Drosophila melanogaster: one gene and its partners. The protein of the gene in region 1 interacts with the protein of each later gene in a pairwise test. Each region holds a gene or a part of one and is shown in the gene's direction. Other genes may lie near its edges.

Region 1 (10,648 bases):
CAGCTAGTAAAAACGTGGGCCATTCATTAATCGAAGCGAAACCTTTGCTCCCGGAGATTTTTTTGCAGCGCACCAAGAAATCTGTGCCGAACATACTATACCCATATTAGCATTGTTGTACTCTATATGTAGAACAGACCCAGGGGCCGCTTAATCAATTGAGTGAGCTAAAAGCAGCGACAACACCAGCGACAGCAACGCCGACGCCCGTTTGCTGATTAAAAAATATCACGCGATTCTCCGTAGAATTTGTGCTCTGTCGTCCGGACCCCAGAGCCTAGTAAAGTGGATTGACTTGGTGGGGTAAAGTATGCCATATACATAGATCTTATACTACAGCACACATGTACATATATGCCCCGCCTTAAGGCCCCGGACTCTCTTATTACGAGAGCTTCCCATTCATTTGTTATTTCCACTGGCAGAGGTTCATTGACTTGGGTGGAAAGGAGGAGACAAGCCAAGCACTTGTGCCTGCGTCAATGATCAATCTCTGCTGATTAGAATGATTTTTGGGTCCAAGTGCCCCACATACATACGTGCTTTCCCCATCTGATGGGTTATCAGATTCCATCAGATTCCACGCAAATATTATGTTTATACTTGTTGTTCGTGCCCATGAGCAGCTGATGTGGAATTTCAGCGATTGGAGCACGACTACGTAGGTCGTTCTTATCTGTCGCAGCTAGAGGACTTCCACACTGGTGACAGGGAGCTGTGACCCGTTGACAATGGACATAAGGGAGCATAGACTGCCAAAATTACCCGGAAATGCCAATGAGCATGATGTATATGTTTTAGGTTTAAATCCATAAATTAGGTGACATTTTCTAATCTTGCTTCAGGGCATTCGCAATTGGATTCTAAAAGTTTTGCCATATGTATGTTTTTGCTTAGGCAGAAGTATACTATAAGATTGAACCACCTCTTAATAATAAATGGATATGGTTTAAAAAACCCTTTTAAAATAAAGACGATCCCTTGCGATTATTTAGTCAGTACAGGAGAGGCCCAGCGAAATGCCAATTAAATTGGGCACACAAAAGACCGCCAGACGATGACGACAGCATTGTGGGTCAATGGCGAGGCAATGGCAATGATGGTGGTGCAAAAGGGGTGTGGGGTCCATCGCCGAGGCGGAGGGCATGCGCATGCCAGAATCACGTGATGTTTGCGGACGGACGACCGGCGGGCAGCCACAGTCAACAAGGGCCACGTAAACGCAGCCCTCATCCGAAAATCTGAAGCCTCAAAAACAGAAGAGCGGAAGGAAAGGCAGGCTGTTCAGATACAGTGGGTTAGCCAGAGCACATGTATATGGCACATATATGTATGTACATTTGCTTGTTGGGCGTGTGCCATTGTTTATACGGTGAGTAGAAATACAAGGAAATAAGAGAAAGAGCGAGGGCGCATATAAACAATGGGTATATTTTTATTTTTACCGACTGGCGGTAGCCACAATTGAGGAAATTTCTATCGTCCCCCAATGAAGCAAACTTGTTATGGTAGGCCATCTATCCATCCGTCCATATCGCAGTCTAACGCGTCATTACCGATAAAGATAAACCGGTTTCTGATGATGCATTGCACGGAATCAAATAATTATATATATATATATATATGGGGGAACGCAATGCCTATAGAACCATTTGATGGTGCCCAAAACAAGGCAAAGTGCGTCAATAGTATCTATATGCGGATCTAAAATACATAGATGCATTAGATGAACCGAACACCCGGTTTATCACATATAGCAATTAATTATTGTGCAAACTAATTTGGGATATATGTATTGTTGTTAGCTTAAGCGCCATAAAGAGTGCGAGTATCGCCGGAAAAGGCAAATTAAACATTTTCTCTGAGTAATCTGTTTTAGAATAGCCACTGTAAGCGTACAATTATAAATAGATTGCATAGCGTATAAATATAAATATAATGCCAAATGTCCCGGTCAAGCGTGGAGAATATGGACATTTCGGATCCGAGAGACCTTGAACCTGAATTATGTAGACATTTCAGCCGGACGACGGCAATGGGTGGATATTTGGAACGGGCAGCGAGACGGCACCGTTTCACAAAGATTTGCTAATCAATTGAGGAACCCTGGACGCTTCTTAGCACGCCTAAAAATGGGGTTTAGTTTATCGTCGACTGATTACGGTTATTGGTATTGGAAACCAAATTGGAATTGAAATAGTAGGGTTCGGTTGGCCGTGGTGTGGCATGGAATCGATGGCACCGACGCGGAATGGTTATGCTTTGACTCACTTTACCGTTAGCGGTGAGTAACGACGTGACGCAATGGGCTGCCCTAAGAACCGTTAGACATTGTGGACCGAATTCCTGGAGGCCCCTAAATGTAATGTAGATGACTCACCATCCATCGCACCAGACGCGCACATCCTTCCGCTGCTTGTCCGAATACCCATTGCAGGCGCTGGTATCGCCATTTGCCTCCATCGTTGACTTATTGAATTTTCACAATTTAATTTAATTTTAATTTAGAATCCGGCTAACGGGCGAACATTAGATTCCGGAGAGTATGTTTCTGTTTTCAGTGCTCGTTTTGAAGGCGGAAACTCGACGACAGCGACGTTCACGCTTCGAGAGCTGTAAGTTATTTGTTCTGAGCTACGACGACGCCCGCTATATATCAATTCCCATTTCACGACCGAGCTACTCAGTTCAGTTTTCGTTATCGGTTTCGGACTCGGATTCACGTTCAGACTCGGAGCGGAATTGGTCTCAGATTCTCAGACTTGCGTTATCAGCGCGCGGGCGCATGGGAACTTCTTTGGGGCGTAAGTGCGGTGTGTTTAGCTTGGGTTTTTTTTTAGATTCTTTCATTTCTTTTCTCACAATTTCGAGTACCGTGAGAGCAGAGTGGCCGCATCGGTGTTTGTCCAAATATACCATATGCCTGGTGCGATGAATACCAGCTAACGCGGATTTTGTAAACATCAACAGCTGATCGAGATATATTGGGAATAACTTTAAATTGGCAAATTTTATGTTACTAAGCTAGAACTTTTATATTAAGCAAGTACAAATCTGTATTATTATACGTTAAAAGGGTATTAACTCTATTAAATCCTTATGAGTCGATCACCCCAATGAAATGTATAATATTTTAGGATATAACAAAGTGTTTTGTTTATAAATAAATGTAAATATTGTCACAACAATTATTAAAAAAAAAGTGTCATAGAATTAAACAACGAACACTACTAATAACATTCACAATTAAAATTTTTTTTTTCATTTTAAAGGTATATTTTATTGATTGATCCCACTGTAAAAATAATACCGATGGTATTTTAAGAGGCATATTGGCCATGGCGATGTGAGATAATACTACGGTGTTTCCCACGGTCACACAGGATAAAGCAACTTAAAATATTAAGCCTATCAAATAAGAAATATACAACGCACAGCACGCAGATATACGAAAAATAACAATCGAAGGAAACCGACCAAGCCATGATAATGTAATCATGATCGTCCACAGTCAGTTCGGGCATTGTTTTGTAGACAGCATCAAGTATATTTTTTAAATTTCACGTGCTAAATTTACAAGAAATCCTACCACAATTACTAAACGAGTCGACGAGGGCTAGATAATCCCAATCCCATTCCCCGTACCAACGCGATGTCCAGAAGAGAAGCCAGCCTGATGGCCTACGTAGCGGCGGAGGAACACCTACTGAACCGGTACTCGCCGCTGGAAGGCGACGAGATAGATACGGCCAGCGAAGCTCCAGGCGACGCATCGGACGTGGCTGAGGATCGGGAGTATCCCACGGATCTTGTTGCATCTGTCACCAGATCCTCGAGGACGGGAGCAGATCTGGACCCCGCCGTGGACAGCAACCTGCACGTGATCTCCGACGACTCGGACACCCACAGCTTTATCTCGAGTGGCAGCGGCTTCAAGGGCTGGCCGGAGGAGCAGCCGTCTTCCAGTTTCGTCCCTCAGAATGAACCCTTAATATTCGGACTTCGCCGGCAAATGATGATGACCGAAGAGACACACCAAGCCCCAGTATGGGCCACCTGCACACCGGCAAAACGTTCGTACAGCAGCCACGAGGTCATCGAGATCAACGGTTTGTTAATCTGTTCCATTAACTATACAAGGAAATCTCTTCCATTTAATTGATTATGAACATTTATCCCAATTGAAAATATGAAATATCTAATATGGTAAACTCACTCAATCGCATACTTTTCTTGTTTTTTAGACTCACCCGAATCTGTCCAGGATCCGGGCATTGCACTAAGCCCCGGCATGCTGCTGACAAATGGCAATGTTGACCAGTTCGAAATGCTGTCCCACGAGAATGATGAGGCTGAACATGAACTTCAGGTGGCCGAAGAAGGGGAGCAGTGTGTGATCTATGAGGCTGTGGATGGAGAGAACATGGTCGTTTTAGGAGAAGAACACTGCTGTGAGATCATAGTAGCTACCCAGGGAGTGGCATGCGAGCAGGAGTTCGCCAGGGCCATCATGATGGCCGGAAACGGTACCGGTGCATTGCTGGGCTTGCTGTCCGAGGAGAGTGATGCGAATGAGTGTCTCAATGGGACTGCCTACATCGAGGAGGTCGTGGAGGATATGGGTGTGGCCGAGGCACGATTGGCGGCTGGAAACAATGTGTACCTTAGTGATGCAGCGCTAGAACAGCCTTTAGTGCACCAGGATCTGGTCGACGACGAGGCTCCGGAGGAAAACGAAAACGCCACATTCTTAGACGATACACCGATGGAGGAGGAACGCCCAGATATTTGTCAGGTGTATGATCACGAACTGGAGGACCACGACGATGAAGAATGCGAGGACGCAGTCATCCAGGAAGAACCAGCCCAGCCTATCGACATTGTAGCATTCGAGGGACAGGAGCCGCTGCCAAATAATCCGCAAAGAAAGTTGCTTCGCGAACACAGCAGTCCCACGGAATTTCCCGTCAGCTCATCCTCCATGCCCAACGCCAGTGACCACTACGACTATGAGGATGAGTTAACGGGCGGCCGCTCTCCATCCAAAGTGGCTCCACTGAAGCGAAAGTATCCGCCGCTGATGAAGAATACGCTCCATGGAGAGGCTATGGATCGAAGACTGGCAAGCATTTGTCAGGCTCAGCCGCAGATGAGTCCCGCCGAGAAAGTCTCCAACTGGGAAACGGCACCCAGGGAAGAGTGGGCCGATGTCGAGGATGTGGAAGGCTTTGAAGCTGCCTTCAAGCAATATGAGGCTGTTACCGCATCACTCAAACAGCTTAACTTTGCCGAATTCCGTGAAGCACTGGTCCGGAATATGGAGAAGATCAGCCGTGAAATCATGCAAACCTCAGACGAATCCACTCAAGAGCTTGCCAGCTCTCAGTCGGCGGAACGGCCGGTGTATCGTCGCTATTTGCACATTCTGCCCACCGAGGAGACAATTGTGCTAGATGATGATGACGACGATTGCTACGAGGTGGTCGGCATGGAAAAAGCCTCTGTCACCACATTGATACCCGAAGAGGAGCTACAGGATAATCAACAGCCGGAGGAAGAAGAGATAGTGCTGCCAGTTGTTGATGACATAAAGAACACGGATTCACCGAATTTCGAGCAGCGGAACCTTACCAAGGAAACATCTACAGCAGACTTGGAGAGAAGCGCGCTTACTCAAACGGCGGGTTCATCCGCTGCGAATTTAGACGCATCCTTATCCCATGCTCAACCTTGTCCAACTGCTCCGGCAGGACTTACTGATTTTATGCAGGCGAACTTAAGCGACCGTGGGCCATCAGAAGACCAACAACTAACCAAAGCTGTATTAGATGTTATGCGTCAGCAGGTGCAAACAATGCAACAGCAACAGCAGTTTATGGAGCAAAAGATGAACCAACAACCACAGATGTATCACTACGAGGAACTGCCACAGGCTCCCCAACGTAAGACTTTTTATTTGTATTTTATTGCAAATTTAATTGGTTAATTTAAATTACAGAGATGCAAATGGAAGGGAATCAGGGGCCTTACGTTAAGTATCCGAATGAGCAACAGGAATTCTGCAACTATCTGGGTCTCACCGAACTGTCAACAGCAAATGCCGTGGCTACCGCAATGAGGGAACTAGCCAACAGCACTATCCCTCGCCGATCGCTGCGGGTGAGACCACAACAGCAACTGGACAGGATGCGTAGTGATGTGCGTGGCAAGCGGCGCGAAAGGGAGCGAGATAGGCAGCAGGATAAGGACAAGAAGATACCGTTGACCACAAGTAGTGAGCTTAGCACCGATAAAGAAGAACCCTCCCCGCCTCAGACATCAGAATCCGTTTCAAGGATGGCGGGGGATGCGGATGTCCATTTCAACTCTCAAATGCCTGCAGAGCATAAGCGAAAACTGAATCACTTGTACAACTCTTATTTTGCGGAAGAGGAAGAATGCTCTACGAAGAGGTCACCCAAAACCACCGACTTTATAGCCAGTTCCAAGTCCTTAAAGGATGTAGAGAGGCGTCCATCGCTCAAAGGACAGGAGCCGCAACGTCATAGATCCATCATTGATGGCGACGGCTATCAGAAACATCAGATAGACAATGAGTCTGAGAAGGGTCGGGTTCAGTCCGTTGAGGCGGCTTTTACTAAGATCTTCGAGGCTGCCGCACCTGCCCAATCCAAGCTGCTGGAGAGCATGCAGCAACGCTTGCGCCAGGCGCGTGAGACGAAGCCATCAATTTATATTATTAAGGCTACAAGCAATGCCTCGCCCCCGAATCCATCACACAGCAGGCAGGAGTCTCACATCTCACCGGCGCCCTTGAACTTAATCGGCGGCTTTGGTGACGTAAGCGCGCCGCATCCTTCTGTCATTTCCCAGCCAGCGAAGAAAAGTCCTACAATAACCAGTCCAGATAAGGAAACTCCAGCCCCCTTACCAGTTGATACACCCAAAAAATCAAAACATAGGAAAACCCATGGAGCCACCAAACCTGTTGCCGCTACACCACGACGCCGCACTACAATGGGTGCATCCAGTCTCGGGAACGAAGCACGTGCACGCGATTTGGTTACCCGCTCCACCACGCATCTTAATTCGAAGCTACTTCGTAGCCGCAAGGTTAGTCTGCTCAAGAGCTACGCCCTGTCGGACGAAATGGCTCAGGGACGATCGAAACGGATGGCTGGCGGTGCAGCACAAACCACCAAAAAGGCTCCAATGCCCAAGGCAGCACGGACGTCGTTAAAGAAGCCGGCAGATAAAAGTCTTCCTGAGCAACATCGCTTGGAGCAACAGCAATTGGCTCCGCCAAACTCTCCCCGAAAGATGAAAGGTGTCAAGGAGACTGAAACTGACACGACAAGTGCAATGAAATCTAGTCGCCTTACTAAACGGACCAAGCGAGCACGAGCCAAGTCACTGCCTTCGAATATTGAAAGGGTGACTGAGCCTGTGGCAGCCGTTCCTAATGCCAATGTATTGAGGCTCGCTGACCTGGCACCAGAAGTGCCCAACACATTCGCGCCTACACACAGCCATCTGGTCAACTCCACAGCCAAAGAAGCCGCTGACAAGACCTTCGTTCATTCCCCCTCCGTCGCTCAATCGCCTTATGCACAGCCCGTGCTTATTTACCCGCCATCCCCAACAACACCGCCACCGAATACGGAGCCACATCGCCCTCGCCAGCAAGCCGGAAAAGTCAATCCAGCTGACTTAGTCCTGGCCACCCCTCCTGGGGGCCTGCTGCGACTCAGTCAGGGATCCGCGACGCTAGCAAATCCACTTTCTGCCAAGCACGGCCAGGTTCTCTATATGTACTACGAGCTGGAACAGCTCATTGTGCTGCAGGAGAATTGCATTACCTTCTGGAAGTACTCCAAAGTGTTCAACGTGCTGCATCAACCGCGACATAATCCCTCCTTTGATGGCGCCAGAAAATCTCCATCTCCAAAGCTGCCTCAAACACCTTCGCGCGAGCCCAAAGACGTCGAGCAGGAGTTGAAAATGGGCCCGCGATGGGTTTACCTGGGCAGAGTGCGGCGCCTGACTAGCGGTGGGTTATGATCATTTATACACTTTACGAATCTTTCTAGCCTCTTTGATGCATTACAGAGAAAGAGATCTTTACGCCGTTTGGCAGCCGCATTTGCGTGCACAATTCGACGCCGGTGTACCTGGAAATGCGAAGCAGGCCGCTGGACCATCACAAGAGGGAGGTGAAGCTAACCTCGCTACATGTGAATGTGTATTACTTCTGCGAGGAGGAACTACGACCCCGTATGCACTCTGTGCACTTGGATGCTGTCAATTGGTGAGGACTATCACGCAGTATGCATAAATTCAATGACGTAACCTACAACTTTCGTTATTTAGCGAATGGCCGCATGTCATATACACAACTATAGCGGATTCGCGTTACTTCGTTATGGCATGGCAGCAGGAACTGGTGATGGGCAAGTCGCGCTCGGGCATTTGCAAATATTCACTGACGCCCACGCTGGATACGCTGGCCTCCATACGGGAGTTTAAGCAGTTGCGCCACGAGCTGCGTCACATTGAGTGCCTTTCAGAGGATCGCCTTATCGGCTACGGCCAGATGCGCATCACCGTCTGGGATCATCGCAGCGGCGATACTCTGATGAACTACGACTTGGGCCGGCCGCTGGGCCGTTGCCTGGCTGCTACGCACTATCCTAGCCTCGACTTGGACCAAAGCAGCATGCTGGTGCTTTATCAGCTGCTTAAAGAACCAAACAAACCGTCTGAGGTGCATGTGATCGCCTGTGAGCTTTCCCATGCCACGCCCTCGCACCGCCTGCTGCAGGTCCACCGCTTACCATCGCCGCAATTCGACGATGCCACGGAGGGCGTTAACACCGGTGATCATCTGATCATCAAGTCAGCATCGAACGACGAAGCCTGGATAAGTGCCGCCGATCCGAGACAGCTAACCTATTTGGCGCCGCAAATCAATGGAGCTCAGCGTTTTTATGCCCGCCACAAGTCCCAAGTGATCGAGATGTCCCCGCAATCCCTAACTGTAGATAGTATCGCCAATCACATGTTGAAATTGGCTGTCCAGCAGACCCAATCGGCGTAGACCTGTGTCGCGGAACTAGAAATGTGGAGAGTCTCGGCCTTGAACAAAGTTTTTGTTTTTTTTTTTCACACAAACCCATGTTTGAATATCACCCAGAATACCCGATCTATAAATGTGCTTTTGGCTGTCTGCCCAAGTATAGTTCAAATATAGGAAACTATAATAAGTTGCGTGTTAAGCCCTGTAGTCCTAACAATCATTTTAGTCGTAAGTAAGTCGGAGAGTAGTAGCCTTTATTATGCGCTATTTTGAAATAAGTGTTTTTGTTTCTTTCGTTCTTTTTATTTTTTCTAAAAGAAAAACAAAACTAGCTTAAGCTATCGTAGTTTTAGGCATATGAATTCAACTGTTTGATTTGCTACTATCGACTGAAGTAGTAAATTTGTCATATTTTTAAGATTAATGGAAACACCAAAATGGAAAGAAATTAATGTCATTAAAACGGAAATCTATTAAAAATACAACGTTTTTGTTTGCATCAATTGCATCTAGTCGATTCACAGATATGTTGTCATCCACAATAATTTGGTTTATAATACTCGATCACGGATTTCGAGACTGCCTTTGGACTCGCATCCTAACGAAGTTGGTTTTTTACTTCAGTTGAATCTTGATTATATGGATGAGCCGGTCACCGAGATCTTCGTGTATTGGAGTACAAGGGAAGGTTAATCCTATAAGATCTCAGGGGTAAAATCATAGCTGGCTCTTGAGTATTAATGATAAAACGAAAATGCCTTTGGTTTTTAATTATAGTTCGTATATTTTAAACTAATTTTGTATAATATCTAATCAATTTCAACTACTCTGTTGTCGATCAATTCCGACTGTCTACCCTATAAACTAACTTCTTAAAACTAATCATTATTTACGATTTTGTTAGTCTCTAAGTTCTAAGTTTTTATATACAGAAGTTTTACTTACATCAAAAAAGTAAAATCCATCGAAAAAATTGTGAGGTGGACCAAATATACAATTAGAATGAACGCGAATGCGATGCTATTCGGTTATAATATAGCCACTAGGAAGCCAATTGCCTGCCTGAGAACCAACCACGAAATGCAAAGATCCCTAAACTGAGTTCCATAACTCGTGGCATTAAATCGCTCTTACATGTCTAGTAAAGTACAGGAAATTCCAATTTAGTTACGTTCGCTTACTGTACACACGTTACGAATATAGAGAATATACATATCTCTATTTTGGCGAGAACCATTTCAAGGCTGTATCAAGCCCCAAAAGAAGAGTAAACGCTGAGGGTGCTCCGGCAGCCGTAGCAGTCCACTACAATTCTTTTTCCGGTTTCTGTGCTACCGACGCTGTTTGGTTCTGGCGCTGCTCCTTGGCCAGTTGCCACCGCTTAAACTCCACCATCTGCATGACGCGAACACGCAGAGGTTGTTTCCGTCGCTGCATGACCGCCGACAGTTTGCCGAACTCCATGCTGTACATGAATACGACTGGAATGAGCACGTCGTCCTTGCCGTCGCCAGACATTGCGAACATCGGCTGCGTCTCACCGGAAGAGCCCGGAACATTATCACAGACAAT
Region 2 (6,790 bases), 8.0 Mb from region 1:
GTGTCTTCGGCAGAAGCATGGAAAAAATTGCGCAGAATTTAAAAAAACTCAGTTGTTATGGTCTAGTTTGCCTGATTCTTGGGAAAATTTTGTAGCCACAATAAGAAGAAAAGAAGAGAAACTAGAAAAACAGAAGCTGTTTGTACACACATACAAAGCAGAACAAAAGTAAGCAGAAAGACAATCTCCAAAAAATTAATTTAAATGGAAATTCTACATACAACTGCCAAAAAACGGAGCATCGCGAGAGTGAAATAAAAAGAACAAAGAAAAAGGGAACGAACAAATTTTTTAATGCATATCAGTGTGGCTAAACACAGAAAAAATATAAGGTGCCTGGGCAGTGGCGCTACTTCACATTTGTACATATATGTTGTAACAAAACTAAATTTTTACATATTATTGGAAATAAAACTACGGTCATGTTACCAGCAGATAAATTTATTGAGTCGCCTGGTATAGGAACTGTGATTTTGCAAACTGAAAATCGGTAAATAACAATGAGAGACGTTCTGTCCCCTCGTTCGGCAAATAACAAAAGAAACAAGATCAAACTTCCACACCTTTGTAGAAGAAATCTCTAAGGGCCGTCCATCTGGAATAGCATCAAAAAATTTAAAAAATACAAACAGATTTAACGAACTGGCATCACATGGGCTCCAGTAGGGGATGAACAATTCCTATAAATATTTAAAAGCACTCCATCCACGAAAGCCATATTACCCGACCCAATCAGGGACCCAACTGTATCGTTACTACATACCCATTTGAATGGATGGACTTTCTAACCTATCTACCAACCAGAAGTCCAGACACAGAAAAAGGCAGCGACAATATCTCGTATCGAACGATACAAACACTTTCCTCGACAAAAAATGCGGATCTATTTAATCTGCTTAATATAATACGGTTATCAGGTCAAATCCCAGAAATTTGGAGAGAGATCAAATTTCAGTGGTTTCAAGCTTCATAAGCGTTCTGTTTAAGATAAAAGAGGAGGGGCTAATATAAATTGGATTGGACCACCTCATTTTACCTCATCCACTCTCTGCATAAATGACCTAATAAATAAGGTCACTTAAAGTGAAAGGATTTCATCTAGTTGCAGCGTGCCTCGATCTTCAAAAGGATTTCGAATGCGTAGACATGGGAATTCTTGCGTCTAAATTACAACAATTCCAATTTAACCCTCACCGCATTTATTGGTTGACAGACTTTGTCCGAAAATGAGTTTCAATTAAGCGAAACTACAAAACTAGGCGTAAACAGAGGAGTGTCTCAAGAAAGCTGCTTGAGCCAGACTCTTTTCAATCTATACACAGCAGAAGTACACAACCTGAGTGATGGTAAACTGTTCGAACTGTTCCAATATGCAGACTATTTATAAGGCAATCACTACAAATTGCTCACAGTGGCACTATAATTAACGAAGTGGAAAACTTTAGGAAGAATTATAGCCGCGAATTACTGTCCAAATATTGAACGAGCGGTCTCGTCACCCAACAAAACGGGCGCTATCTTAAGATTGTTAAGTGGCTGCAACTTTGGCGTCAATACCACGAAAAGTTTTCTTCTTCACAAGGCATTTCTAAGGAGTAGGCTAGAATATGCATGCTCCTCATTCAGCAGTTTATCCGAAACAGCTATAAATAAAATAAATGTGCACACCAATCAAAGCTTCAAAAAAGTGCAAGGGCTTACTAAATGGACACTTACCCAAATTATCTACCACATGGAGACAGAAATGTCACCGGAATACAGAATTCGTTTCCAAACGACAAAGGAACTTATTAAAGTATTTGCCCACGCATTACCAGCCAAAGAAATATTATTAGGGAATTACGATCTCAACACTAGCTATTCCAAGTCGTACAACGACTTTAAAGTCATATTAAACCAAATCAAAGGCTGTGATCTGGAACCAAAATTAAGGTAGACATAAACTTCTTTAAAGGAATTGACAAAAATAAAAATGCTATAGACCAAAGTTGCATTTTAAAATTCTATAAGGAAAAGGTCTCCAATCTGGGAAACAGGGGGTTCGAGATAAACTTCACTGATGACTCAGTTTCCGAACATCAATCCAACGCAGCCTTCCTAACTTCTAGCTCAATTGTCGAACTGCTAGCGATAGACAGAGCTCTGGACTATGTTCTCAGGATAGGCATTTCCCTAGTGGCCATCTTAACAGACAGCATGAAGAGCGACATTGCAATCCTATAACCTGTAACATTAAAAAGAAGATAGTTAACAATCCCAATGCTTGACACACATTGAAATCCATCACATGCCTAGTCAGTCCGGTATTCCAGAAAATGATCTCGTGTACCTGGCCGCCAAAAATGCATCGAAGCAAGGAATTTTCACCGAAGTAAGTTGGACCATTAAAGATGTCTCGGTTTAAATCATTCAAAAAGACTGGGAAAGGGAAAACGCAGATTTTGCTGCAAACAAACAGCGGGACTACTGCACACTTTTCCCAGACACATTGAAAAAACCGTGGTTAAAAATCCCAAATGTAAACTTAAATCTACAGAGATCAAAAGAATCAACAGACTTCTCAGCGATAACGGATTCGACAATTATACTTTGAATAAAGTACATGTTACAATAACATAAGGGGACCAAGTAACGTTTTCGATAACGTATCCCACATCTTAATCAGCTGTTCCAAGTACAACACTTTCCAGCCCTGGAAAAATACCAAGACATCAACCATCTCTCTAAAAACGTAAACATAAACGCTTAACAAGGCATCATAGATTTTCTAGACCAAATTAAAACAAACCTATAAATCTTTCCAACCTTCCTTGGCACTTTCCACATACACGACCAAATAATTCCACGACATTTACGGAAGTTACCTAAAACAAAAAAATACACAACCTACAATGTGTGCATTTACGAATTTATTGGTTTTGCTGTTATTTGCGAAATTACAAGGTATTACACTAATTAAAAATTTCTAGACGATATAGAGAAATCCAAAGTCAAAATTGTACTAATCATAAATATTTGCACAATGCACGCGGCCAGTTGCAGTGTAGCTATAGTCCTAAGGTGTACATCCCCTTCCACAGTTAGGAGCACTGAACATCAAACAGCTCGCAAATACCTTCGTCGCTTTTTAACGCAAAGTTGAAGTCTTCCTGCGGAGGATTCAGCTGCAGCAGCGGCGGGTTTTCTGCAACATCGGACAGCATCAAGTTAAACAGGGGGTCTTTTAAATTGGCAAGATAAGAAGACAAACCTAGATTCGGATCATCGGGATAAAATCGCCGCAGCGAATGACCGGACAGATAATTTTGGAAGATTATCTTGGCCGTCAGCTCGTTCTCCAAAAGTTTCATCTCATCTTTCATCCCGGGATTGCACGAGTAACCGTGCTCGTCGGTGATCACGTTCCCCGCGCATGCTGGAGCGTTACCATCCTCGCTGGAGTGCGACGACGTCGAGGGTGAGGGCGTGTCCAGACGGTGATAGTCAAAGAACCCATCCACATCGTGCGGATTTGTAGTACTCTTTCCTTGGTTCGTCACCAGGCGAATGTCAATTGCGCTGCCATTGTCCAGCGACACGGCCAGCTCGTACTACAAAAACAATGTTTCGTTTGAATCCCATATTATACGATAAATTTAGATATTTCTTCGTTGAAAGAAATGGGAAACCTCGAAAGCTAGTTTAAAGAGCTCCGACTGGTAAGATACCTACATGATTACGCTTGATATCTACTTCCTCGTCATAATTAGGTATTGTGAATACGGAATCATCTCCAAAGATGTCCAGCAGATCATCACGTGTCACATATGCATACGACCTATTCGAGGGATCCTGCATAACGTAGCGCAGATTGCGCTGTGCATACTCCAGTTGCCTGTCTAGGTCATCCTCCAACATTTTCAAATGATTAGTCCGGCTACGTGCCAGGTCGTAGTTCTCTTGGTCCTTGGCATTGTTAAAGCCCCCTCCGCTGGAAAATGCACATTATCAATAATTTATCAAGAAATATTTATGTGGAATCATACTTTGAAGATGATCAAAGTAAATTCCACCTGTTTGTACTGTATTAAGTATTAAGTGCTAAAGGGCGACTTCCACCCCATTTTGTTTAATTTTGTTGTCACTAACATTTTTAGTTCTAACTAAAATGTTTCATAAAATGTAAGGGGCTCTTACCGCCAGCGCACTAGGGAGCAGTGTCTGCCCTTATCAATTAGTCCAATGCCCTCTAAAACATTGGTAATATCGTATATTCGGCGCTTCTGTACGTCCAAGATTTTGGTTGCCTGCAGAGGGGAAATTTGGACGATGTTAAGGTAGAGTACTTAATGCTTGGCCGTGTTAGTACCGCTTTCAGGTCGATGGATCCTTCGTTGGCCTTCACGAGATCCACAAACTTCTGTGTGAGCAGGACCAGTGAGCCCACGGAGCGCTGTTGTCCAGGCTGCGATTGCGATTGTGAATTCGACGGAGACTTGATTGGCGTTGGAGGATCCGGTGATGTGTCCATGCTAACGGGTGTAGACTCGTAGCTCTGCGACCGGACCGAAGTCTCAGCCGAATCCACCTTCATCATCATAGCCGAGGAGGTGGTGCCCGCTGCGGAGCTGTCTCTTTTAACAATACTCGCGGTTTTGCGCTTGTACATGGTCCGCAATCGACTCGATGACTATACTCCTGTCCTTGTAACTCTTTGCGTGGCTGCACTCAATATGCAGCGATCAAGAAGCCGGAATTAATTGCACTTTGGAGCGAAAATTAAACGAAAATACGAATGTTGGCGCTAGGTTTGCTTTCCGCCATTTATGTCATTTTTTTCATTCTCCCTCTATTCTTCGTGCGCACTGCGCAGTGTGGCAAAGCGACGCTGCCACGACGATAGTAAATCGATTAATCGATGCTTGCGCACATTTCAACACTATATTTTAAACAGGTAAACATTTTTAATATTTTGATCTTTAATTTCAATTAATTTTCATTTAAATTCTGTATTTAGTTTAGTCTGCAGTCCAACACACAGATCATCCAATGTTTTCTACTTGGTCTTCAAATGTATCATCACGAATAAATAATAATTATTTTAGTACTCCATAATATTTAGCCATTCGTTAAGGTTTATTGTCCGATAATATTGGCGACAACTTTTAAATGAAATTGGGTCTTTTTTAGGTTTCAAATTAAAAGCATTAACCCTTTGAAGGCGCCTGTGCTAGTCTTGATCGTTTACAGAGCATGTATAGCACAGCTGGAAGTTTTCTTAAGAGTGCCCATGAAGATGGAGTTGAGCTTGTTTGTCAGTAGGGTGAATTTAAAATTTTAAAAAGATCAACTTGATAACGAAGGATTGTTTTAACTTTCAACAGTAATTTAAATATTTACTTTAAACATCGCATAAACACGAGGGCGCGCCACGTTTTCTAGCTAGGCTGAACGATGATTTGCAGCACTGGCTTTCCCCATTTGTTGTGCTCGGTCATTCTGCTTTTGAAAAAAATTAAATGTGCCTGATGGTTTCGCCCTAGTTTTTAAACTCAAAGGACTTCTACTATATTAGATTCAAAAATAAATAAGGAAAATGCCATCCAAATCAAAGCCGAGACTTTCGCGTGGTGTCCTGGACATGAAGTTCATGCAGCGCACAAAAGTTAAAGTGGAAAAGGAGGCAGACGATGAGCAGAGCAGGGCACTGTACTCCAACGAGATCAACCAGAAGATGCTCAATTCCACCTCGAATTTTGTGGTGGAGTCCAGCTACTCGATATGCGCCGGCCTGATAGACGGACGCCTCAGTTTCCGCGGCATGAATCCGGAGCTAGAACTTCTCATGGAGCAGGATCTGGCGGAAAAGCAGGGCCGCACAAGGCCGGAGCAGCCCAAGGAGGTATCCGACCAAGACATGGTAAAGGCTTATTATGCCAACAAGGCGCCCACGGTCTCCGGCAGCATGAGCAAGAAGTTTAACACCAAAAAGGACTTTAAAAGGAAGCAAATCGGCGGAGATAGTGATAGTCCGCATGCCATGAAGAAGCAGTACTTTAAGAAACCACGCTCGGGTGACGAATAGTTTACTACTTAGTTGTTACACTCGTGACTTAGCTTTTAGTTAAATAAATATACGAATTCAATTGTACTCGCGCTGTGCTTGTTTCACCGCCTGCAAGGCGTAGCACATCTGGTTGTTGTTGATCCATCGCCAGGTGTTGCTCCAAAAGTCGTAGGTGCTTCCATTTACCAACACCGTCTGACAGTTCACTGCAGATGAACGAGAGAATAAAGAATAGCCTAATCTGAATATAAAGCCTGAGATAAACTTACTCGTATCCAAGATGCGCTGAACGTCCAAGGGCGAAATCATTTTGTCCCAGTGGTGCGTTCCCCTGGGCACCAGATTGAGAACATACTCGCTGAGTAACACGCCACCGAACCAACTGGGTATGGTTTTGTTCAAAGTGGTGATAAAGATGGATCCTCCAGGCTTTAGGCTGCGTACACTGGCCTCCAGCAGGGACACTTTATCTTTGACGTGCTCCAGAACTTCAGACACTATCACCGCATCATAGCATTCGCAATTGGCCTTGGCATGCTGATCCACCGGCTCAATTTTGTACACCACATTGCTGGCCAACTCCGGACTGGAGCATTTGAGATGCTCGCGAGCAGCTTCTATTAACTTCTCGCCAAGATCTATGCCAGCCACCTGGGCACCCAGGCGCGCCAAGTGTTCCGTAAGCAATCCTCCGCCACATCCGACCTCCAGAATATTTTGACCCAACAACACTTTGGTGGTATT
Region 3 (7,411 bases), on another chromosome or scaffold:
CTCCGAGCTCTTCAAGGAGATCATTAAGTCGCAAAGTCAGCAGAACGTGGTGTTCTCGCCCTTCTCCGTCCACGCGCTGCTGGCCCTGATCTACGGGGCCTCGGACGGAAAAACGTTCCGGGAACTGCAGAAGGCCGGAGAGTTCAGCAAGAACGCCATGGCCGTGGCCCAGGACTTCGAGAGCGTGATCAAGTACAAGAAGCATTTGGAGGGCGCAGATCTGACCCTGGCAACCAAGGTCTACTACAACCGCGAGCTGGGTGGCGTCAACCACAGCTACGATGAGTACGCAAAGTTCTATTTCAGCGCCGGCACGGAGGCTGTCGACATGCAGAACGCCAAAGACACGGCAGCCAAGATCAACGCCTGGGTGATGGACACGACGCGGAACAAGATCCGGGACCTGGTCACACCGACCGACGTTGACCCACAGACGCAGGCGCTCCTTGTGAATGCAGTCTACTTCCAGGGTCGTTGGGAGCACGAATTCGCCACCATGGACACATCACCCTACGACTTTCAGCACACCAACGGCAGAATTTCCAAGGTGGCCATGATGTTCAACGACGATGTGTACGGCCTGGCCGAGCTGCCTGAGCTGGGCGCCACCGCCTTGGAACTGGCCTACAAGGACAGCGCCACCAGCATGCTAATCCTGCTGCCCAATGAGACCACCGGACTGGGCAAAATGCTGCAGCAGCTGTCCCGGCCGGAGTTCGATCTCAACCGCGTTGCCCACCGCCTGCGCCGCCAGTCGGTCGCTGTGCGCCTGCCCAAGTTCCAATTCGAGTTCGAGCAGGACATGACCGAGCCGCTAAAGAACCTGGGAGTCCACCAGATGTTCACGCCCAACTCGCAGGTGACCAAGTTGATGGATCAGCCGGTGCGCGTGAGCAAGATCCTGCAGAAGGCCTACATCAATGTGGGCGAGGCGGGCACAGAGGCCTCGGCAGCTTCCTGTAAGTTCTGAAGACCATCAACACCCCCGAATCCTGTGACTAATTATCTCCCAATCTCTTTCCCAGATGCCAAGTTCGTACCCCTTTCGCTGCCTCCCAAGCCCACGGAGTTCGTCGCCAACCGGCCATTCGTCTTCGCCGTCCGCACACCCGCCTCAGTTCTGTTCATAGGTCACGTGGAGTATCCCACGCCCATGAGCGTCTAAAATGAACCAAATTCGGACAAATTGATTTATTAGAATTCCATTTCTGAGTAGAGCCTTGCCCGTTGCATTTGTGAATAATAATAATAAAGTATGACGCTGTATTTATGGAAACTGAACTTTGATAACCCCGTTTCGCTGATAAGAGCAATGGGATTCCGTGTCGATCACACGGCGATCCGGAGCAGCAGTAGTAGCAGGTATTGCCATTGTGCCTTTTCCCAGTTGTTTGCCGGGGCTCTTGGCTATTCTGGATTTCCAGCGAATGGTTTTTGCCCGCTTCTGTAAGTTGGCAAACCCGTTTTGGAGCCGCGGCACTCCTCCTGCCCTCTTGTCCTCGCATCCACGGCCGTAAATCAAAGGCGGATTTCTCAATCATTTTTCAAAATGAGCGAAGCTTCCTCATGCGCACTAGATCTCACTTGAGATCACCGAGGATGGAGTGCAGGGTAACCCATTTTGGGGGAGCAATGGGGCTGAGAATTGTAAGACTGCGGTATGAGTAATTGAAATACCCGCTGAAAGCTGGGCATAATTAATGGCGCTTACTCAAGGTTGCCTACACTCAACAAAACTACGTTGTAAATTTGGGGTTCTTTCTGATATTGGAAGGTGTTAAAGAGTAGGTAGTAGGTACCTACTAATGAATAATTAAATATCGCGAAAAACGCTTCATCCCTCAGATAGCCCATTTCAAATCTCTGCTGCTAAAACTTATTAAATTGCTAAATAAAAAACAATTAGAGATGATCTAATTAAAATGTCACCATTATTCTTATAGTAATAATTCTAATGATTATATACATCAGTTACCCCTCCGAAATGAAAGTTTAGAATTTCAGATTTCTGATTTGCTATTCTACATTCATTTGATTACGAAGGCAATCAAAATGTCTGCACCTTTTGTGTTGCAGTGTCGAATTAAGAGTGAGTGAGTTAGCTTCCGAACTTGAAATTTTCTCAAGCGCGAAACGAAAACTGGATAGAATCGCTTGCTACCTCTCCCAGTGAATCTCTCTGAGAACTTCGAGCTCTCCGCCTCTCGAATCGTTCCGTATCACCCAAGACCTTCAATGCCGAGCTCTGACTTTGGCTTTGGACCTCTCCAATCAATGACCTCAATGTCTCAATATAATTTGAATTTCCTTGAATGAGCGCGTAGCCTAGTTGTGTGTAAGCCACTGGATCATTAACATTAGCATTAGTCGAAGCTTGGTATTTCCCAAAACATGATCCACTGGAGACTTCTTTCCGCCCTACTTGTGGGCCTGGCTATAGCTTTAACGCTTCCAGTCGACGGGGAGCTCTTGGCCAGATCGCCGGCCAGCGTCTCGAGTAACCGCTTTGGCCTACGCCTAACTACTAAGTTGGGACTAACTCAACCAGATGCAAATGTGGTGGTTTCCCCCTTGCTTATACAGGCGGCGCTCAGCCTGCTGTATGCGGAAAGTTCTTCGGAGTACGGTAGCCAACTCCGCCAGGCTCTGGAGCTGACCCACGCCAGTCACCCGAAGCTTGCGGTGCAGGACTTCGAGACCCTTTTGACGGACCTCAAGCAGTCGGCTGCCATTGGCTGTCGCTTGCGGTTGCTGAGTGACCTCTACGCACAGCAGCGCTTCACCTTCAACTTCCGCAATGAATTCGAGACCTTGGCCGCCCGAATGGGCGTCGGCTGCCACCGCTTGTCGTGGGAAAGTGCGTCGAACGCGGCCCAGGATATCAACTACGCCTTCCTTAGCCGCAGCAACTTCAGCCTGGGGGAGCTCGTCAGTGCCCCCCAACTCGAGTCCTTGGCCGAGCACAACACGCCCTTTTTACACGTCTCGGGAGTCACCTTCCGAGCCCCTTGGGCTTGGGCCTTCGATCCTACCGAGACGCAGAGCATCAACTTCTTTGCCGGGGGAAATCGCCCCAGGCTGGTGGATGCCATGTTCGGACAGCACCGCTACAGGTACGCTGAAGTGCCCGCTCTGGACGCCCAGCTCATTGAGGTGCCCTTCGCCACTGCAGACCTCCGAATGCTCATTGTATTTCCCAATCGGCCTGATGGCCTGGCCCAACTTGAGAGGAAGCTGGCGCAGTCCGATCTCCACCAGCTAAGGTCCCAGCTCGAGGAGCGCAAGGTGGCCCTCACTCTGCCCAAGCTCAGAGTGCTAGTCCACTCCGACCTGAAGCACGTGCTCGAGGAGGTGAGTTAACAACTGTTAGGATTTCTCTTGGAACTGCAGCTTGTACAAGTTCAAATCAAACGTTTTCCATATGGAACGCAATATTAAATAAGAAACGCTAGAGTTACGTGGATACTTATTAAGCTAAGAAGCAGTCATTAGACTTCTCCTTTGGCTTGAGTGGGAAATTTAATGTTCTCAACATGATTTCCCTTGCAGTTGGGTCTGGCAAAACTATTCACATCGGAGGTCCACCTGAGCGAGGTCTTCAGCTCCATCCTGTCCAGTTCGGCTCCACCCTTGGGAGCAGTGGTCCAGAGTGGTCTCCTGGAGCTACAGGAGGATGGCGGCAATGCCGACGACTCGTTCTGTAAGTGATCACGCCAGTCTCTGACCAAGAAGCCTCCTAAACCAGGTGTACTTCTAGCCTTCGGGGATCTGTTCCGACGAGCCCTGCCCCTGGTCATCAATCACCCGTTCTTTTACGCCATCGGCAATGGCAAAACTCTGCTGCTGTCCGGCCACATCGTCGACATCTGAGTCTTTCTAGGCATACCTAATTCTCGATTCCAATGCTAGTTCAAGCCGGGCGGGCTATCGCCTTATCAGCCCCACTCAAATCTCCGCGAAATAAACAGAATCACCCGTGGCCAGCCAAAGGTGACAAATGATTTGTAAACACACTTGATCGGTATTTGTATTTGGGACCCGAGAGCTGAGTTTCGTGTTTGAATCCGACTTGGATCAACCTCTATAGGCGCTCTGCGATCGCAGAGATTTCAGTTCACATTCCGACGAGCTCAAGTGCGAATCAAGCGGAGCAGGAGACGCCCATCAACAATTTATGTGACGACCATGGCTGTCATCATCAGCTGCCTATTACGTAAGCCCCAATTAAGCGATCTGGTTTGTGCACTGTACGAAAGCTGTACAGGAATGTATTTCCACTTTAAAGGCCGTTGCTATCAAAAGAGTTGCTACAATTTTGGGTGTTTTATTATCATTAAGAATAAATTTCTTCTATTTTCAATTGATATTTGACGTAATGCCACAGTTTCTAACTTGGTGATAAAGTCAAATCGATTTCAAAGTGACAAATATCCTTCCTATTTCTGTGAAAATTATATAAAAAGTGAATCAAATCGCACGAAAAAATATGTGAATTAAATGTGACAATTATTCGAGCTATAATTTTCTCCAAGTGTGCCTCATCTGGCGGGGCGGAGCCTGCAAACAAATTGCGACTAATGCCATGTTTCGCATCGATTCCTTTAGTTCTCCTCGCGACAGTGTCGCAGTCCAAGACCGTGGGTTACGATGCGGCTGCCGATCGCAATTTGCTGGCTGCCGATCTCTACAACGCCGTGGCCGCCGATCATCTGAACGAAAATGTGGTCATCTCGCCAGCGACCATACAGAGTTCCATGGCGCTGGCCTTCGTGGGGGCCAAGGGTCAGACGGCATCGGAGTTGCAGCAGGGGCTGCGTTTAGGTCCTGGCGATGCGGATGCGGTGAGCCAGCGCAGCGGTAGTTACCAACAGGCCCTGACCCGCGACAACAACTTCCGGCTGGCCAACAACATTTACATCAACGAGAACCTTGAGTTCAAGGGCTCCTTCAGGGACGTGGCCCAGCGCCAGTTCGACTCGAACATCGACAAGCTGGACTTTCACCCGCCGTACAACAAGCGCACGGCGGATGGCATCAACCGGGCGGTGGCCACCAAGACCAACGGCAAGATCACTGACATCCTCCGCGCCGAGCTGCTGAATGATCGCACCGAGGGAGTGATCGTGAACGGCGTTTCCTACTCAGCCGCCTGGCAAAAGGCCTTCCGGCTGGACAAGACCGAAAAGCGCTCCTTCCGCACCGGAAGCGGGCAGTCTGTCAAGGTAGACACCATGTGGACGCTGCAGAACTTCAACTACGCCGAGGTCAACTCCCTGGACGCCAAGGTGGTGGAGCTGCCCTACCAGAACCCCGACTTCTCCATGCTGCTGCTCCTGCCCAATCGCAAGGATGGTCTGAGATCCCTGCAGCAGTCGCTGTCCGGTAAGAATCTTCTGGCCGAAATCGGAGCGATGAGCCAGCAAAAGGTGGAGGTGCTGCTGCCCAAGTTTAGTGTCACCTTTGGCTTGGGTTTGGAGGGACCATTCAAGAAGGTAAGTAGGAATCGATTTGAGCGAATTTTCAAGTGGTTACGATATTGTAATAATATTTCTTTGGATTATGAGAAAGGTTTTTTTCATAAGTCAGTTGATAAATTCTGATTGCATTTTTACATTTTTACATTTTTAAAAGACTATCAACTATTTATGATGATGTTTAATCTAACACTTTAACTTTCGTCAACTAGCTGGGCGTCCATACAATGTTCTCGAGAGATGGTGACTTTGGCAACATGTACCGCATGTTTGTCAGCCATTTCATTAACGCAGTGGAGCACAAGGCCAATGTGGAGGTCACTGAAGCTGGCGTGGATCAACCCCTGGAAACTGGATGTGAGTAGACACCTAAGTGCACTAAGCAGATCCCAGTGAAGTGACTACCTTTCTTCCGAAATCCAGTGCTTAAAGGACTCTTTTCGCGCTCCAAGAAGTTCGAGGCAGATCATCCGTTCGTGTTCGCCATCAAGTACAAGGACTCAATCGCCTTTATCGGACACATTGCTAACTATGCTTATGTCTAAGCTAGATCGCAGATACGGAGTAGATCATTTTGTTAAAACTTACAAATAAAAAACACACGTAAATTGACCTAATGAATGTTACTTTTTGAACAAAAGACTGACAGAAATTAACAACTTGTATGAAACTGGAATGGACGACGTCCAAGTGTTTTTCCCAAAGGTTGCATTTTAGATTATTTTTAATCCGGCGCGGCACTCACCTTTCTAGCTCAACAGGCATTTGATTTGGGGTATCCATGTTTGCGGAGCGGAGGATGTATCCGAAGTTTTTATGGCTGGCGTTCTACGGGCTGATGTCTTTTCGGTTTCTTTGTCGCTTGATTGGCACTCACAGGTATTTCACTGGTGACACTGGGGGCGGGGGTGATGCCTTTCGGCATTACTTATATTTATTATCTTATTCTGCGGTTTCTCGGCCGACTGCGCTGCGTTGTTTCCTTTAATCGCGCACATAAATCAACAAAAGCCGAGCCAGCTGACAACAATTTGAGCTTAGGCGTATTTATTATAAATTTCTTGGCGCGTTCGTGAAAAAATTCGCGGAGTGCCTGTCGATAAACTGGTTCGCGCACCGAATTAACTTTGGCTCCACCAAATGGCTCAGGCCCGATCTAGCTGCCTAATTGTATTTATGCATGTGCTTGGGGTGGGGGACACTTCGCAGGGGTTGGGTGAGGAGGGGGTGGCTGCTGGCCATTTAAAATAATTGATGCACATTTCCCGGCCGCTCAAGAAACACACGCAGCCACACTGCTGCCACCGACGGCAGGCATTTCATTATTTTCCGCAAACTCCTTTTCCTGGCCACTGCACGCGACAGCTGCCCGATTTCTGGACTCCCGTTCACCGATTCCCGGCACTTGATAAGCCCAAAAGCGCAAAAAAGCAAAAACGCGGGGGCCGTCGCTGATCCGTTCCGTTTCCGTGCGTTCCCTAACGTTCCTTTCCGTTTCGTTTGCCTTCGAGCGTTCCGTTCGCGCACGCGCACGTCCGCGAGTTCGATGTTCGTGCGAGGCGCGCAGCAGACTGACAGCGATGTCGATCGGCCCCAAAGACGAACTCCAAAAACGGCGAACTCCCTGCCTGCGCACTCGTTTCTCTCGCTCTCCCGCTCTTTGGGGGCTCTCTCTTGCCAAATACCGGTTATCTCAGAAATAGTGGGCACAGATGGGGCCAATATCTTTCTGCAATTGTAGTGGCCGCTGCGCGCTCCCTCCCAAAACTTCGCGACTGCGACAGCTCGTCGTCCCTTTGTTAGAACGCTCGGGTTGCCCCCGACAAGTTTCTTTGTTTCTGCGCCTTGTGAGCGGAATGCTAAAGAGCCCATTTCGGGAGGGAAGAATTGCAGCAGGTGCATGGTCCACGGTGCATGGTGGATTGTGCACGGTGCAT
Region 4 (8,008 bases), on another chromosome or scaffold:
GGGTAGAGGGTTGAATAAACGTCCGTCCCACGTAGCGATTCCTGCAGAGAACCTCGGCAAATTCAATGCCAGACTCACGGGCATAGCCATGCGCCGCCGCTGTGCCAGACTCGGGAACGGAACTCACAATATCCGCCTCCACTGGAGCCTCTCGCCACAGCTGCCGGCCGCACTGCAGCCTCACTGTGTACACCATCTGACCCTCGAAGATGCTGTCTCCGCGGGCGAAGTAAACGTACTCAAATATACAAAAGGCCATGCGCTTGAAGTCGGGTCTTTCCACAATGTCCACCGTGCGGTAGCCACTTCGCGACAGCTCCACTATCTCTCCAGGCTCCACTTCGCGGACGTATCTGGCACCGATCGACAGGAAGCCACAGCTCTCACTGGACACCACCCAACCATCGGCAGGTGTGTCTAAGTTATTTCCGTGCCCAGCATTGATGGGCACTATCTTGCCAATGCATAGCGGCCTATTTCCATAGGTGTCCCTCACGGCGTAGATTTTGTCCTTTAGCATGATGACCAGCGAGTAGGAGAGTGGCGCCAGCATCATGAAATGCCTGATCCTAGCTGGCCAGTTGGGTCCATCCAGTTCGGAAACATCCTCCGGGGCGCAGCACAACGACTGGGCGATCAACTCACTGTCGCTGTGCGTGGATAAGCCCACGCCTCTGGCCAAAACCTCCCTTCTTAGAGATTCGTTGTTAACAAGCTCACCATTGTGGGCCAGGGCCAATGCTCCATGTGTCGTATGTACCTCAAAGGGCTGACAGTTAACCACTCCGGATCCGCCAGCGGTCGAGTAGCGTGTATGACCGATGCCCAGGTTGCCACGAAGCTTCTTCATGGAGTCGTCGTTGAACAGGGTGCTGATCATACCCATGCCCTTGTGCACGTTGAAGTTCTTGGAGCACTTTCCCTCGCTGGTCGCTATGCCCGCAGACTCCTGCCCACGATGCTGCAGTGCCACCAGCCCCAAACAGATCACGTGTGCAATGTCCATTTGGGTGGGCCAATCTCCGCAAGCGATTGCCCCGAAAACGCCGCACTCGTGCGTCAAACCGGTTAGCTCCTTGCTGGCCGAGATGGATTCCGATTCCATGCTGGAGGTCACCGCCTCAGCTGGTTCCACCTGTTGTTGCTCGACCACGCGCACATGTTGTTGTTGCTTCTGCTGCGACTGTTGTTGTTGCTGTGGCGCTGACATGTTGCTGCTGAAAAATCGGTACAATATGCTGGTTGAAGGCAACTGATTGCAGGCAGTGGCGCAGTTGACGCCGATCTGATTTACCTGCTGATTTACGCAACGGTTTTATACAAGAAAAATCCTCGCACGCTCGCACGCGCAGCTCAGTTTTTCCCGAATCGGTCGAGATCAAGCCCAATATCGATCGGTCGCTGATATCGATAGTGCGGTGTGCTGATGGATCGATAGCATTCTATAGTCTGTATTTTCAAATTGGAATTTTACCTAATTTGTAATTTAGTACACAAAACAATATACACATTATAATTTGATTTTATTCGTTTATATAAAATATACGCAATCAAACTAAATAATAAGCTTTAAATTGAATTAAAGTTATTTTGCGCAATTAAAATTAATTAAAAATTGTATGTGTATGTTCGTATATATAATATTTAACAGTTTTTTTTTTAACACGTAGGCAATTAAAACCAGAAATATAAAAAATGTTTCGTGAAATAAATAAATAATAATTAACTACATATGTATAACAATTGAAAATAAGTTCACTGCAATCCCTCAATAAAAACGCCACTAAGAGATAAATATATTAGAAAAAATTCACAGTAGGAACATTTTTACAAAAACGGTTTCTTTTATACATTTGATAAGTATCAAACTGAAATGCGATTGGTTCAATTTGTTGGTGTCATTATGAGCAGTAGGAATTTAATGAAAACGTTTAGCTTAAGTACTTGATTCGATATTCGAATTCCGCTTTGCACATCGCGCAAATTGAGAGATAAGATAACTGATGGAATAACTATTTCAAAGCCGTGCGAAGAGTAGTAGTGCGTCCTTCAGCAAAGCCTCCTTTTCCAGACTGACCTACGCCATCGCTATTTCGACGAGCAGAGCTTCTCCGTAAAGAACGGAGCCTCCTTCAGCTTGGCCTTGTCCGCCTCGTCGAGGAACGCCTTGGCCTGCTCGATGTCCCCGCGGATGGCGGCAATCAGTGACTCCAGGGAGTCGAAACTGCGCTCCGGTCGCAGGTAGCCTACAATGCATATCTTGAGTGTCTGGCCGTAAAGGTCACAGTTAAAGTCGTGTAGCATGTGCGTCTCCACGCTCTTCTCCTTGTTGTTGTAGAAGGGATTCCAGCCGATGCTGAGGACCATCTTGTGCACGGGTCCATTATCCACGTTTGCCCAACCGTAGTACGCGCCAGTGGGCAGGGATTCCGGCAGCGATTTCACCACCTCCAGCGGAAAGTTAGCTAACAAGTGGTTTGGTTATCAATTAGAAATGACCTTCGCAATTCGCCTAACGTCGCCACCAACCTGTTGGGATGCCCAGCTCTTTGGAGCCGCGTCCGAAGCCCCGAACAATCTCGCCCCCAGCGAACAGAGGCAGTTGGCTCAGCATTTCCCAGATTTCCTTGCAATCTGACCCAGATCTGCTGTGCTGGCGCTTGAAATGAATATCAGGGGCCAATGGGCGGTTGATTTGCGGTATTCTGTGCAACCGCAAAGCGCTGCGGGCCAATTTATCGAGTCTGGCAAGGAGTCAAGCGGGGTTTTCTACAGAGTACGTATGTTGTGATTGCCGCGTAGCCACTCACATAACTATTCCTCGTTCCATTGATCGGCATAATATTCATAAACACACAGACAAATTTTCCGCATTCATAAAGCGAATCAGCTGTTGCCTTCGGGCTGCCAACCTGTTTCAGTTATATAGTACTGTCAATTAGCGAATTTTTTTTACTAGATATTTAAATTGTAAGAAACTGAAATGTATATATTACGCACAGTATGGTTTTAATCAATAAAGCTTGGGTTTATATTGTAATGCAGAATTAATGTAATTGGATTGATTTTAAAATTTTAGCGGCGGGTTAAACATATTTTCATCAAAAGCTTTTATTTGCTGTGTAGAGCTTCTATTGAAAATATTGAATTTTTATTTCATAAATGAATCATCAGATGTTTTGTGTAAATACTAGTACTCTATTCCCAAAATAAATAGAACACCAAATCGTAATTAAATTACAATGAAAGCCAGCTTGCCTGAAAAATATTTGTGTTATTAATACAAATATACATACATATATACATATATATACATATATACATATTTTTTCATATCATATCAATCTCAATTTTTTTTATTCTGAATAATTGTTTTCCATGTGTACATGTATTATTCAGCACTAAAAAAAATGTACAAATGATCAGTGCGACGGTTGGTTTCTTTGCAGTTCCAGTTATCATCCAATTCTCCAAAAAGTGAACACTTACACTTGTGTAGAATGAGAAATCAATTGAACTCTTTAAAAAATGTGCCGTTTATTCATATAATTTACCAGCAATAACTGTAAAACCAGCGAAACGGGATTATTAGTTTGCAAAACAAGGCCAATGTCAATGGTCAATTCATAAGATGTCGTAAACTGTTCTTTTATTAAAAAACATTGCATTTGGTTGTTGATTTAGATGATGCACAGCGCGAAGAACGTGTGCCGGACTTGTATGGACGAGACCGGCACCCTGGTAGATATATTCGCCAATGTAAGGGATCCTGTGCTCGACGAACCGGAGATGAGCCTCTCGCACATCCTGGCCAGGTGTACCGAACGTCCAGTGAAACGCGGCGACCTGCTGCCGCAGTTCATATGCGTTTCCTGCGTCCTGGCCGTGCAGAATGCTTTCCGGTTCAAGTGGCAAAGCGAGCAGAGCTACCAGCACTTCTTCCGCGTCCTAAACCAGTCGGGTGCTCCGGAAAACCAAGTGCACTTAGCTGCATGTAATGGGGATAAGAACCAGATAATAAACCAGAAAATGCAGCTCAAAAGCGATCGTCAACAGGATACGCAGCAAATGACAAAAACGCAGAAACCAGATGATGATCTTAGTCAAAAACAAACACTCCAAGCGAAGCTCCAAGAGGGAAATATTGATGGCCCACCGGAGTCCTTCACCCTGCATCCTCGTAAGCGGACTTGTCGCACAGAAGAACAGGCAGACATGATCCCAAAGGAAGCTACAAGGTAATGCAATTTGTTATAAATATCAAGCCTCAAGATAGACAAATAATTGAAAAATTATAAAAATTTGAAGGTACATCTTTGATTACTTATACTTTTATATGAATAATTAAAAATAACTTAAATAAGCTTAAATAATTATATTCCCGATTTTCAGAAGTACCAAAATGATCTGCGATGCCGATGGCTACTACAACTGCCCGCACTGTTCTAAGCGATTTTGTTCCCAGACCCAGTTAAGGACCCACATCACCGATCTGTGCAACAGGTGTCCCTACTGCCCACGCACTTATATGCAAAAATCGAACCTCAAGCGGCATTTGCGAAACCACCTAAGCAAGCCAGCGCACAAGTGTTTCCACTGCTCGAAGGCTTTCATGCGTAAAGATCACCTTAAAAGGCACCTGCGCACCCACGACAGTGACGGTCCGCTCTCCTGCAGCCAGTGCTCAGCGGTATTTATCGAACACGTTCAGCTGGAAATCCATCGCAGAGAGCACAAACAAAGGCCGGGCTCTTCAAAATCGGAGTCCACGAAGGATCCTGACTCGGACGACAGCGATCAAGCGCAGGATCTAAAACCAAAGTGGACTAAGAACACCTTCAATGGCACGTGCAGCATTCCACCTATGCTAAAGCCGTGAGTTTGGAACTCCACCAGTCTTATGTAATATAGTTATACCTGATAGTTATACTTATACCCTAGTACCGCTGAGAAATTTGTGACGAGCGAAGGTAGCGTATCTGACCCCTTTATATTCTTAATCGGAACCACTAGCCGAGTTCATAAGTTCTCATCAGTCCGTCCGTTCGTCTATTTTTCCGTCTGTCTGTCCGCAGAGATCTCTGGAATTAAAAATCTAGAAAATTAAGGTTTTGAGTTTGTTTCAGACCTTTAAAAAGCCAACAAACGGACATTAAGTTATTGTTTTCATTTATTCTTTTACTTAAATTTTTGGCGATAGCCATTTCGCCGAAGAAAATTTGAATAATCAAACTTTAACCAAACTTTAAAATTGTATACCCGTTACACGATAAGTAATAAAAAGGTTTACTAGTAGAAGGAAATAATAATCTTGCACAGGATCAATAGTCTGTCCGTCCGTCTGCGTGTCCGTAAGAACGCCGTGATCCCGTTAACTATAGGAGCTAAATCCCTAAGATTTAGTAAAATTTATAGAAATAGAAAACCCTCGCACTTTTACTAGCTGATTAACGGGTATCTGATAGTCGAGGCGAATCAACTAATATCATTTGCTTCTATTTATTTAACAACAGGAAACCGATATGCGATATTTGCCAAAAGAAGTTCAGTAGTGTCTACGCCTTGAAGCGGCATATGCTTACTCACAATCGCCAACATCATCTTAAAAAATGTACCTATTGTTCCGAGGAGTTCAAAACAGAAAAACATCTCAAAAGGCACGAGCGTGGTCACATGGGAGATCTGTTTCGTTGCGAATTTTGCTCATTGGTATTTGTAGATGTTAACTACTTGCGAAAGCACAAAAAACGCATTCACAGCAACAACGTAATAGCGATGTAGGAGAAGATCATGTCCAAACGGGTGACTACCGGTTATACTCTTGGAAAACAACCATTGAATTAAGCAGATTAATATATGTGAAAGGAATATAAACGATTTATTATTCATTATAATTATAATGACCGCAGGTCTAAACTTCTGTTGTTGATTCTTACTTTGAATTTTCTTAAATATGATTCTTTTGTTACTTTCATAAGCTCAAAATTAATATTATTTAAGTTTCGTTTTAATTATATATTTCACAGAAACTCAAATATACTGAGAATAAGCTCTAAATTTATATTATTGAAATTTCCTTTTAATTGTATATTTCACAATACATTATTATACTGAAAATAATTAAACAATCGATTGATTGCTACCACATGCTACTTAATGCCTTCTTATATATCTTTAGAGCTTCAAACTTTTTTCTTTTAGCTTTGTTGTGGTTTTGCGAGAACAAAAGGAAAAATAGACAAAAAGAATGATCCATACATCATGAAAACAACTAGTATGCTTTATTATTAGTACGTTTTGTTCTTAATATAGAAAAAAAGGGAATATATATGCTTTATGCTTTATGGACGTGCGACTATATCAAATGTAACGTATAACGTTAAAGGTAGTCTGTGTAGTATTAATACACAATTGTAAACGAATTCAATCCGTTAAAAAACACTTTGGTGAAATTGTAAAGCTTTTGTATGCGAACAATTTAAACAAAAAAAAACATAATCTTCTTAAAACTAACTAAAATACTTCGACTCACATCTCGAAGAGTTTCTTTAGCTCCGCGAGGTTGAGACCACCGCCAACACATTTGGTCACTTCTCCTCCTTCCTCTGGAAGCACAACTTTCGCAATTTCTAGCTTGCAATCTTGCAGGGACTTAATTCGTTGCTCTACAGTGTCCTGGCACATGTAGCGGTAGATGAAGGTAGGCTTAGTTTGACCATATCGATAAATGCGGTCCTGAGCCTGTCGCTCCAGCTGCGGGTTCCAGTGGAGGTCCACAATTAGCATATGATTGGCCACGTTCAGATTCAGTCCCACTCCGCCAGCGGTGAGGGAGAGTAGAAGAACGCGCTTCTCGTTATTCGCGTTAAAGTCTCGCAGTACAATCTCGCGTTCTTTGGCGGTCAGCTGGCCATTAAAGTCAAGTGTTTCCCATGATAGATCCTGCAGTCTTTTACGGACGATTGCGAGATAGCTTACCCACTGAGATGTAACAATGATTTTGTCGTTGGTGCCTGTGAGCAGTTCCTCTAGCTTATCAATGACCATCTTTAGTTTGGCAGAAGGGCGTATGAACTGAAAGATGGGATTCTGGGGATTGAGCAGTTTAAGAGCTCTGGCACTATCTAGTTGATCCTCAAAAGAACTGGCCGTTGGCAGGTCATCACCAGAATCCCATGGCACATTCTCCTCCTTAATTTCATCTTTTATCACTTCCAACTTGAAATTGCCATCTCTTCTAGTACTGTCCTCCTCGTCACAACAGTCATCTTCGCTATCGGTTTCGTCAAACTTATCCAACTCGGCAAGGACATCCATCTTGAGCTGGCCCTCCACGTCTGAGGCATCCACCTTCACGTTCTGGACGTCCTCGGCGGTCAAAGCACCACGCAGCATCTAACGAAAGATGTTGAGTATGATTATGTGGGGTGATAAAGTAAAATATGTATATATTTACCCCAATCATTAGTCCCGGATGGCAACAAAACTGTCGTAGCCGCAGCAGTAGCACCAGGATATAGATACCAAGGATCTTTTCCCCTGGATTGTAGCCAAGCGACTTAAGGAATCTTTCGTAGATCTCGTTGTACCTTTCGTCGGACATATGTCCGGCTATAAACTGTGGGGTTCTTTCCAGAGAGTAATAATTTAAATCACTGTTGCCCTTCTCGCGTTGGAGCAGGAACTGTGTAAAGATTTTTTTGGATATGGCAGACAGGATCTGGTACACGGCCATTTCAGTTTTCGATAGCTGTACGCATATAAGTTCAATCTTAAGGGAAGGCAGCGCAGGCATGTCGCCAGATGCCTGTAGCTTTTGCTTTGTCCTGCGCAGCATTAGTGGTTTTATTATAAAGTTAAGTCGGCGATGTCCGAGCATGCTTTCGTTTAGGTTCTTTTTCCACTGCTGGAGGTCCTGAAAGTTTGGTACATTTACAAACCGCAGCAGGGCGAACACATCGACGCCCCGATTCTGGACAGGCGTTCCAGTCAGGGCCCAATGACAATG

The links.
Region 2: the proteins of CG16972 (region 1) and Mpp6 interact in a two-hybrid assay, tested with the Drosophila melanogaster proteins (one large-scale study listed by BioGRID).
Region 3: the proteins of CG16972 (region 1) and Spn43Ab interact in a two-hybrid assay, tested with the Drosophila melanogaster proteins (one large-scale study listed by BioGRID).
Region 4: the proteins of CG16972 (region 1) and kipf interact in a two-hybrid assay, tested with the Drosophila melanogaster proteins (one large-scale study listed by BioGRID).

What each region holds. Positions count from the first base shown.
Region 1 is NT_033779.5:13,196,005-13,206,652, reverse strand, and holds CG16972 (uncharacterized protein), read left to right. Parts: upstream 1-3,357; 5' UTR 3,358-3,652; coding exon 3,653-4,109; intron 4,110-4,244; coding exon 4,245-5,942; intron 5,943-5,998; coding exon 5,999-8,050; intron 8,051-8,109; coding exon 8,110-8,308; intron 8,309-8,370; coding exon 8,371-9,097; 3' UTR 9,098-9,551; downstream 9,552-10,648. Other genes in the region: Pect (phosphoethanolamine cytidylyltransferase), read right to left, coding at 2,381-2,463; Edem2 (ER degradation enhancer, mannosidase alpha-like 2), read right to left, coding at 10,382-10,648.
Region 2 is NT_033779.5:21,151,396-21,158,185, forward strand, and holds Mpp6 (M-phase phosphoprotein 6), read left to right. Parts: upstream 1-4,892; 5' UTR 4,893-4,933; exon of another isoform or gene 4,934-4,996; 5' UTR 4,997-5,575; coding exon 5,576-6,064; 3' UTR 6,065-6,121; downstream 6,122-6,790. Other genes in the region: E2f2 (E2F transcription factor 2), read right to left, coding at 3,081-3,184, 3,251-3,590, 3,712-3,970, 4,177-4,286, 4,349-4,648; Coq3 (coenzyme Q3), read right to left, coding at 6,122-6,790.
Region 3 is NT_033778.4:7,150,339-7,157,749, reverse strand, and holds Spn43Ab (serpin 43Ab), read left to right. Parts: upstream 1-4,107; 5' UTR 4,108-4,185; coding exon 4,186-4,213; intron 4,214-4,605; coding exon 4,606-5,492; intron 5,493-5,686; coding exon 5,687-5,831; intron 5,832-5,897; coding exon 5,898-6,019; 3' UTR 6,020-6,088; downstream 6,089-7,411. Other genes in the region: nec (necrotic), read left to right, coding at 1-959, 1,026-1,165; Spn43Ad (serpin 43Ad), read left to right, coding at 2,392-3,351, 3,550-3,700, 3,758-3,870.
Region 4 is NT_033777.3:7,910,400-7,918,407, forward strand, and holds kipf (kipferl), read left to right. Parts: upstream 1-3,451; 5' UTR 3,452-3,684; coding exon 3,685-4,238; intron 4,239-4,392; coding exon 4,393-4,875; coding exon of another isoform or gene 4,876-4,879; exon of another isoform or gene 4,880-4,970; intron 4,971-5,513; coding exon 5,514-5,781; 3' UTR 5,782-6,054; downstream 6,055-8,008. Other genes in the region: Prat (phosphoribosylamidotransferase), read right to left, coding at 1-1,210; Rfk (riboflavin kinase), read right to left, coding at 2,089-2,465, 2,530-2,614; CG10445 (uncharacterized protein), read right to left, coding at 6,529-7,395, 7,457-8,008. UniProt on the Drosophila melanogaster protein: DNA-binding zinc finger protein that recruits chromo domain protein rhino/rhi to specific chromatin regions enriched in H3K9me2/3 histone methylation, mediating piRNA (piwi-interacting RNA) biogenesis.